2 linked regions of the Ovis aries genome follow. The protein of the gene in region 2 purifies or fractionates together with the protein of the main gene of each other region. This does not show direct contact. Links are inferred from orthologs where the notes say so. Each region holds a gene or a part of one and is shown on either strand. Other genes may lie near its edges.

Region 1 (4,344 bases), on a different chromosome or scaffold from region 2:
AATAAAGCAGTTGCAGGGTATGAGAGGACTCACTCCAATTTTGAAAGAAGATTTACTGTGGGTAAAATACTATCAAACAGCATTGCATGCTACAGAGAAATTGTACTGAAAGTAAGCAAGTTCATGCAGCAAATTCATCGTCTTATTTCAAGAAATTGCCACAGCCACCCCAGCCTTTAGCAACCACCACCCTGATCAGTCACCAGCCTTCAGCATCAATGTAAGACCCTCCACTGGCAAAAAGATCATAACTTACTGAAGACTTAGATAATGGTGAGCATTTTTAAGCAGTAAAATATTTAAAAATTCAGATAAACATTGTGTTTTTTTAGATACAATGCTGCTGCTGCTGCTACTAAGTCGCTTCAGTCGTGTCTGACTCTGTGCGATCCCACAGACGGCAGCCCACCAGGCTCCCCCATCCCTGGGATTCTCCAGGTTGCTGCACACTTAATCGACAAGGTAAGCATAAACTTAACATGAATCAGGAAACCAAAACATTCGTGACTTGCTTTAACATGGTAGTTTGGAACCAGACCCACAGTATCTCTGAGGTATACCTGAATAGCTAGAGAAAAAGAGACGTACATAATGTTTCATGGAAAAACTAAGTCTTCATGGAAAGGTAGGACTGGTAGACAAAGGAACGGGCAGTGCAGGTTAGAGAACCATACATATGACTGGGAACGCCTGAACTGTCTGAGTACGTATTATGTTTCTTAAACAAAGCACTTACCTGTACAATTGGCAAAGTTGTAAAGAGTTCAGAAACAGCTACTGGTTTGTCAATTTCCTACAACAAATAAAGAATAATTTTTAGAAAGCTTATTTCTAGCATGCAGAAACACTAGATAAGCTGTGTGTATGTCCATGTAAAGACAGTTGAAGCCAAGTAGGAGCTGAGAACATCAATGGAAAGGAAGGATGAACAACAATTTTTTAGAATGAAACAATCTGTAAGGAACAATTGTTGGCCTAAGGAGAGATACACATATTTACTAGTATGTTCGGAAGGGAAATCAATCAGTAATGAGTCCATGACGGTAAAATAAAAAAGATGAACTATTGTGATTAAAGTTTAAACAACAACAATGCACTTTTTAAAAAGTTACTTAACATCAGATCGACTTTAAGAATCTTTACACCATACCCCAGCACTTCACAAAAAAGTTATCATTTGTACAGATATGTATCAGCTCAACTATTAACACATAAAACAATGCACAGAGTGCTCATCTGTAGCTTCCACATTACCGATACACACAAAATAATTATAAATGCTGGTTATTATTGTCAGAAATCCTATTTTACCTGTTTCTTTTCCTTAAATTCAACAACATGATTGATGGCAACAACTGAATAGCCCACTGAAAAGAAAAATTGAACATTCTTGTCAAATACAACAACCTCTTTTACACATAAGCTCATACCAATTCATGTCAAGACTACAAGGCAGAAGAATGGTTATGAGTATGGATTCTGGAGTCAGATTTGCCTGTTCTCAAACCTAAACATTACTACTTAAAAGTTACTTAACCTTAAGTTTCAGGTTGTTCATCTGCCAAATGGTGATGATATCAGGATTCATCTCATACAACTGTCATGGGAATTAAATGAGATAACACATGCTGGATGTTTTAGAACAGTGCCTAGCATAGACACAGGGCTTTGTTTGACTTTGGTGATGTATTATCAGCATGATAACAAAGACCTTTATCTTTGCCTATCTTCTTTCAACCATTATTCTTTTTCGTGTCCCTATGTTCATTTTCATCTCATCAAATTTATACTTTTTTCACTATCAACTTCATTCTTACTTTTCCGTTTTTTCTTTTGCTTTTTACCCTTTCTACTTCTTCAGAGACCCTTTTGCTAAGGTGAAACAGGATGACCACTAATTCACACCAATGTCCACGTTCTCCTTTGAGCTACCCACCAAGAGACTGAGAACTCTCTGAAGCCAAGGCCTGGCTTTATCAGCCTCAACACAGCACTGCTCTGGACATGTGGACTTCAAAAATATGTTTAAATCATGACTCCAATCTTTAAGCTATTTAAACAGCAACGGTGACGACAGGATATTAATATTAAAAGATAACGCATATTACGGTCAAAATAGTGGTCTCCCCCCTCATGAGTTTGTCCAAGGTCCTTTTCTTCCTCTCTCAAATATTTACTGAGCGTCCATTACTTAACAGACCCTGAAGAAACCTCTTCTATTTTGAAACCCTTCTACGCCCACTTAGACAGCAGTTGTGATTCACTTCAATAATTAAGGTAAGGTCTTAACCTCTCTCGGCTTTTGTTTCCCCTGGATTCAAACAGGAGTTACATTTTAGCCATTCTGCTCTCCTCCCACCCTCCTAGTAAGTCCTCCGCCCCCACTTACTCTCCGTGTAAATAACATTCCGACACTCGGAACCACATGTCCCCATTCTCAGGGCCCCCACAGGACTCCCCCTCTCTGCATCAGTTTCCCGCATTTGACAGCATCAGGACAATGTCAAGAGACTTAGGAAGGGGCGATATGAAAGGCACTGGTGTAGGCGTATACTTGGGAGCCCCGTCTTCTTCCATCCATCAGCTGTGGGGCCCATGCAGATCCCCCGCCATGTCAGGGCCTCAGTTTCCTCAATTCGCAAGACAGAAGGAGCTGGACTGGGTAACATCTCCCCAGGGCTTTCGAGTTTCCCGCGCCTCGGGTCAGAGTAACACCGCAGGGGCATCAGTTTCTAAGGACACGCCGGAGGCCCCAGGACACCAGAACTAGGCCCGCCGGGTCCCTCCAGAGCATGGCTCGACAGCCTAGGGACAGCGAGACAGCGCAGGCACGGCGGCCCGCGCAGCCCGGGAGACTCACGGTGAGCAGCGTTCTCCACGAGCCCGCGCAGCGCCTTCAGGTCGGAACCCGCCCGCAGGTCCAAGTCGGCAAACGCCGCCATGCTGAAGCCACGTGAGCCCCGGCGCCGGCGCGGCCTCTGGGCCCCGCCTCCCCGGGCATGCCGGGAACTGCAGTTCAGCGGCTCGGCCAGCCCCGCCCTCCCGCAGTCTGCGGGTCTCCGCCTCCTTTCTTGCCTTCAAGTACCAGCAGAAGTTAGCACGTGGAGATTAGCAGCCTCGCTTCAGCCCTTCGTCTTCTTCCAAATGAGAATGTCTGGTTTCTCCTGGGGTTGGGCCGTGGGGGTTCACACCTCCCACCCTTCATCCTTGGAAATAATGTAGAAAATGATTCTTTTAAAATGGACATATACACCATTAATTGAGCGCCTACTTGAACCAAATCCTTTTGCTAAGGGCTGGAAATGCTTTAAAAGTAGTAGGGAACTTGTTCTTTTTTCCCCCGTTAAAGGCCATTCCGTTGTTTAAAATGGACTTAACGGAAAATGGGGAAACTGACCTAAAAGCGGATTGCCAGGGGGAAAGGTCTTTTTCCTCTGTCTGAACTGGGAGTTCACAGCGCGCTACTTCCTTACACTCAATATCGTCAGCCACCAGATGGCAGGGTTCTTTCTAGGATGAGAGGTTAGCTCCATCACTGGTTCAGCCAAAAGCTGGTTAGACAAGAGAGGGGCGTAATTAAAATAAGAAGAAATGTACAATCAAATTCCACACAATTGATATTTCCACATTTTTGAACTCGTGTAAGTGAACTCTTCTTAAATATTGATCAATGATCCGAGAACATAAAACTGTGAAACTGTAGTTGACATCAGATGACATCATGTGGTTGGATGGCATCACCGACTCAATGGGCATGAATTTGAGCAAACGCTGCAAGACACTGGAGGACAGAGAAGCCTGGCGTGCTGTAGTCCATGGGGTCACAAAGAGTTGGACATGGCTTAACAACTCAACAACAACAATAATAGTTAACATCAGTGCTTTTTCAAACGATCTGTGATGAAGGGCCTGGTTACTGCCCTCCCCACCCACCCACCCAGTTGTTCTAGGACCCATTCCTGTTTCCTCCTGCATGACCAATAGACAAATCTGGCCTCAAAAGTTTGGTCTAACATCTGAATTGCTCTGTACTCGACTGAATAAGAAGAGTCCAATAGCTAGGGACTTGGGTATACAGATAAGGCCTAATGGGTGTGAAAGTTTCTAAACAGTTCTAATTTCTGTGCTAACTTATCACAGATAGTACACAGACAATCTCTAGCCTGAGGCCACATCTTGACTTGTATTCGTCTCATGACTTTTCCCCTTGGTCTCAGAAGGGAATTTTAAGAGGGATCTGCCCCATGTTATCGTTGTTCAGTCGCTAAGTCATGTCCGATTCTTTGCCACACCATGGACTGCAGCACACCAGGATCCCCTGTCCTTCACTATCTCTTGAAAGTG
Region 2 (3,767 bases):
CATAGCTGATTCATTCTGTTGTACAGCAAAAACAAACACAACACTGTAAAGTACTTATACTCCATAATAACATTTAAAAAAGAATAAAATAAAAACAGCATCAGGGACTTCCCTGGTAGTCCAGTGGTTAACAATCTGACTAGCAATGCAGGGGATGCAGGTTCTACCCCTGGTCGGGGAACTAAGACCCCACATGCCACGAAGAAACCATGCCACTGCTGAGCCTTGCATGCCACAGCTAAAGAGTTCAAGTGCTGCCAAATAGATAGATATTAAACAAAATAAAACAAAAACAGCATCAGTGGCATCAGCAGTTTGTCTGTCCAGCCCTTTAGTCAACAGTCAGAGCTACCTAAAAATGGACTATCTTAAGGTTCAGGGCTTTGCAAACATCCCTGGAGCCTGAGTTCCAACCATGGTACTGTACCAAGGAGGCAAGGGTGGAGGGGCACTTGGGAGGCAGGGTCCTGGAAATGAGAGCTACTTCCCAGGGCCAAGTGGAAACTGGGATCTATCTCCCTGAATGGTGGGACTAAGAGGATGACAACAACAAAAGACAAAAAGGACAAAGAAGAGGTTAACTGGTGACAGAGAAATGCAGACAGAAACAGAGGAAAGAGCTGAAACATTCACAGAACGGAATTACACAAAGTTAAGCAGAATTAAAATTTATTTGGAAGACAGAGTGAGTCCATCACTGGTGACTGGAGCTCTGAGGCTGCACTTTCTCCTCAGGAAGCTGGGCTGGAATGGGGTGGGCTGTGTTTGGCAAGGGCTGTGGTGGTTTGGAATCTAAGTAGATGAGCAGAATTAGTTTTTGAAGACTGGCACTTTCCACACCAACCCAAAACTCACCCATTTGTCTTCTGCAGCTCTCCGTTACCCACTGTCTCTACTCCCTGGGTTAACCCCCATTTTCTCAACCATCTCTCACCTGCCTGGTTCCCCAGCTGGGCCTCGGGCCGGTCTCCCCAGAGCACATGCCTCGGGTCGTTGAGGAACCGCTGGCTGCGCTGGCATGTCAGGCAGGTCTGTACAGTCCAGCGCTGACCCTTGCAGCCTGGAATGCATGTGGGAGAAAGAGAGTGCCCAGGTTTAGGAGAAGAAAAGGTCTCCTGAACCCAGTGTTGCCTCCACTGTTTTCTAGTAGGGATTCTCCTCCCTCCCCACCTTGAACGCAAATTTGATGGTGTCAGGTCCCTGAACAAAGTCTATCATTTTCTTGGCACCCTTTAAGACAAAGTCCAAACTCCTTAACAAGACTCAAGATCTGCCCTGCTTCCCTCTCCCACCTCAGGTCTTGCCCTTGCCCACCTCAAAGCCTGCCTCCTGAACTCTCAGTTCCTTGACAGCACCACAGGCTTTCTTTCCTGAGGCCTCACAAATGGCAAGGATTTCCATCTCCTACTCCCCTGCCCTTATAAAGAACCTCACCACCACTGGTTTAAGTAACTTCGTATTCTACTCCCCTAACTGAAGCATTTTTCTAGGCTATTCTAATCGTTCCTCTTAGTCCATCCCATGAAACCATATTTCAATGAGAATGTTGATTCTAGAGCAATCCTTGACACATCTCAGAAAAATAATTCTTGAGTGAACGAATGAAGATGCGAATCATCCTCTATGATGTCAAATAACATCTATTATCATGGCCGGGCGAGGCTGCCTCTCAGGGCAACATCATTTTTCTACTGCCCAGATCTGTCTGTCCAAGTAGAGTTAACAACTCAGAGAAAGCCACCGACTCCAAATCCCACACCTGGCACGCGTCTGCCTCGAGAAAGGGATCACTGCCCGTCCCCTCCCCAGCCCACAGGTGTTCCTCATACATCCCACCTCAGCAAGAGGGTACTTACGTCTCTGCCGCTGGGTGCAGGTCAGACCCGGGATGAGGAGGGAAGAGCAGCCACGGCAGAGAGTTCGCTTCACCGAGGGGTCCCTGGGGGCGGAGGCAGGTGGTAGTCCAGACGCCCGCTCTCCCTCTCCAGTCCTTCCCCCGTCCCGCCCGCTGCCAGGCTCCATAACCTCTCTTACCGCCGTAATACGAGCCGCTTCGCTATGGTCCTCTCCGTGTGGCAGTAAAACCTCGCTAGCGCCTGGTTCTCTGGGTCCTGTGCGAGGACGCAGTGGGCGGCCTGGGGAAGTGAGCCGTCACTGGGGGCCCTCCACATTGGGTTCCCCGCCGTGCGTGCGCCGCGGACTCACCTGGTACAAGAAGCTGAGCCTCTGGAGGGCCTCGCGGTCTTTCACCGGCCCCGCCATCCGCGCCGCGCGAGCTCTCCACACGCGACCGTCCACAGGCCCCGCCCCAGGATAGCCACGCCCCCGGCGTCCGCGCGAGACCTCCTGGGAATTGTAGTTCCGGGAGCGATGCACACTCCTTTCTTTCTGGTCTTCCTTTCTCTGGCGCCACCCTATGGCCTCACAGACCCAACTGTTCGAAAATCCACCCCGCCCCTGCAATGAGAGTCCAGGGGCCTCCTCCTAGTCTTTCTCAAGCCGATAATTACATTAGGCGGAGACTGGAGAAGTTAGTTGAGCAGAAGAGTCTTAAACCCCTAAACATCGTCAGGACAGAAGACTCTTCTTTTTAGGCAGATAGGTTGGGAGATGGTTAGGTGCAGTTTATACCCAGCTAGACTTTCTGCCCTATGCTCCTGAAGACAAAGGCAGATGCCTTGAAAACCTACAGACAGAAGCAGCAGGTCTTCCTTTTTTTAGAAAAGGCACTGGTGCCAGTGGGAGTGACGCTGGAAAGGATCATGAGGGTAGTGGAGGGAGGGAAGAGGGCTCCTGGCCCTTAGAAAGCACAGCTTCCTCCCAATCTTTTCCACTTAGCAGATGCAGTGCTGGCCACAGTAGGGGATCCTCATTAACCCCTAGTCTCAGGAACTGAGCACAGAAACCTTTCAACAGCATCCCCCTGAAGAAATATCCCCTGTAGTACTCCACGTCCCTCCCTTCAATCTCTGCCTCTCCTTTCCTGCTTGACCTGCTGCTGCTGCTTCTGCTTCATAATACCACTCCTTCCTGAGGTTAGAAGTAGAGGGACAGAATATGCATAAACCCTGAGACAGGGAGAGGGTAGTCATGTCAGGAGAGCATGAGAATTCTCTCCTCTCTCAACCACCCCCCCCCCCCACCCACACCTTGCCCCAATCAGGACTCCAGTTTGAAAGAAATGGCTGAAATTTCCTCTCAGATTACTTTCACAAAGGCCTCCAAACTCAAATGAGGCGTATGATTAAAAGGCAGATATGCCCAGGCCCACTCCAGACCTCAGTCAATTACTGAGGGCAGGCACCAGGAATATGCTTTTTTTTTTTTTGAGGCCAAACTACAAGGCTTGCGGGATCTAAAGTTCTCCCACCACGGATCAAACCCAGGCCCCCAACAGTGAAAGTGTGGAGTCCTGACACTGGACTGCCAGAGATTCCAAGGAACATGCATTTTTAAGTTTCTAACACATCAACAGAGGCTACTGTCAAATTACCACAGGACACAAGGATTACTTCAGTGGATCCTTTGTTCCATATTATGTTTTACCAACCAAAGCATCTTGCCACAAAGAACCACAGTCAAGGCACAAAGGTAAGAGGAGAGTCTGGACGAAGTCCTGTTGAGGTGGTAGGAGGAGCTGAAATGCCCTCAATAAACTGCAGTTTCTTGTCCCAGTCTTCTGTGAACCCGATTAGCCAGTAGCAGATAATCCAGTCATTTTAGTTTGGTTTGGCATGCATTGCGTTACCTTTTCTGTAACATATGTA

What was found.
Region 1: the proteins of RPP21 (region 2) and RPP30 purify together in Homo sapiens (co-immunoprecipitation; 3 studies listed by BioGRID and IntAct, counting the BioPlex papers as one, with this or other methods). This does not show direct contact. The link is inferred for Ovis aries from reciprocal best matches to the Homo sapiens genes RPP21 and RPP30.

Annotation. Positions count from the first base shown.
Region 1 is NC_056075.1:12,318,628-12,322,971, reverse strand, and holds the start of RPP30 (ribonuclease P protein subunit p30), read right to left. Parts: upstream 2,956-4,344; 5' UTR 2,943-2,955; coding exon 2,861-2,942; intron 1,368-2,860; coding exon 1,312-1,367; intron 794-1,311; coding exon 737-793; intron 1-736. UniProt on the Homo sapiens protein: Component of ribonuclease P, a ribonucleoprotein complex that generates mature tRNA molecules by cleaving their 5'-ends. Also a component of the MRP ribonuclease complex, which cleaves pre-rRNA sequences.
Region 2 is NC_056073.1:27,568,567-27,572,333, forward strand, and holds RPP21 (ribonuclease P protein subunit p21), read right to left. Parts: upstream 2,316-3,767; 5' UTR 2,263-2,315; coding exon 2,206-2,262; intron 2,136-2,205; coding exon 2,035-2,135; intron 1,940-2,034; coding exon 1,857-1,939; intron 1,061-1,856; coding exon 935-1,060; intron 793-934; coding exon 695-792; 3' UTR 653-694; downstream 1-652. UniProt on the Homo sapiens protein: Component of ribonuclease P, a ribonucleoprotein complex that generates mature tRNA molecules by cleaving their 5'-ends.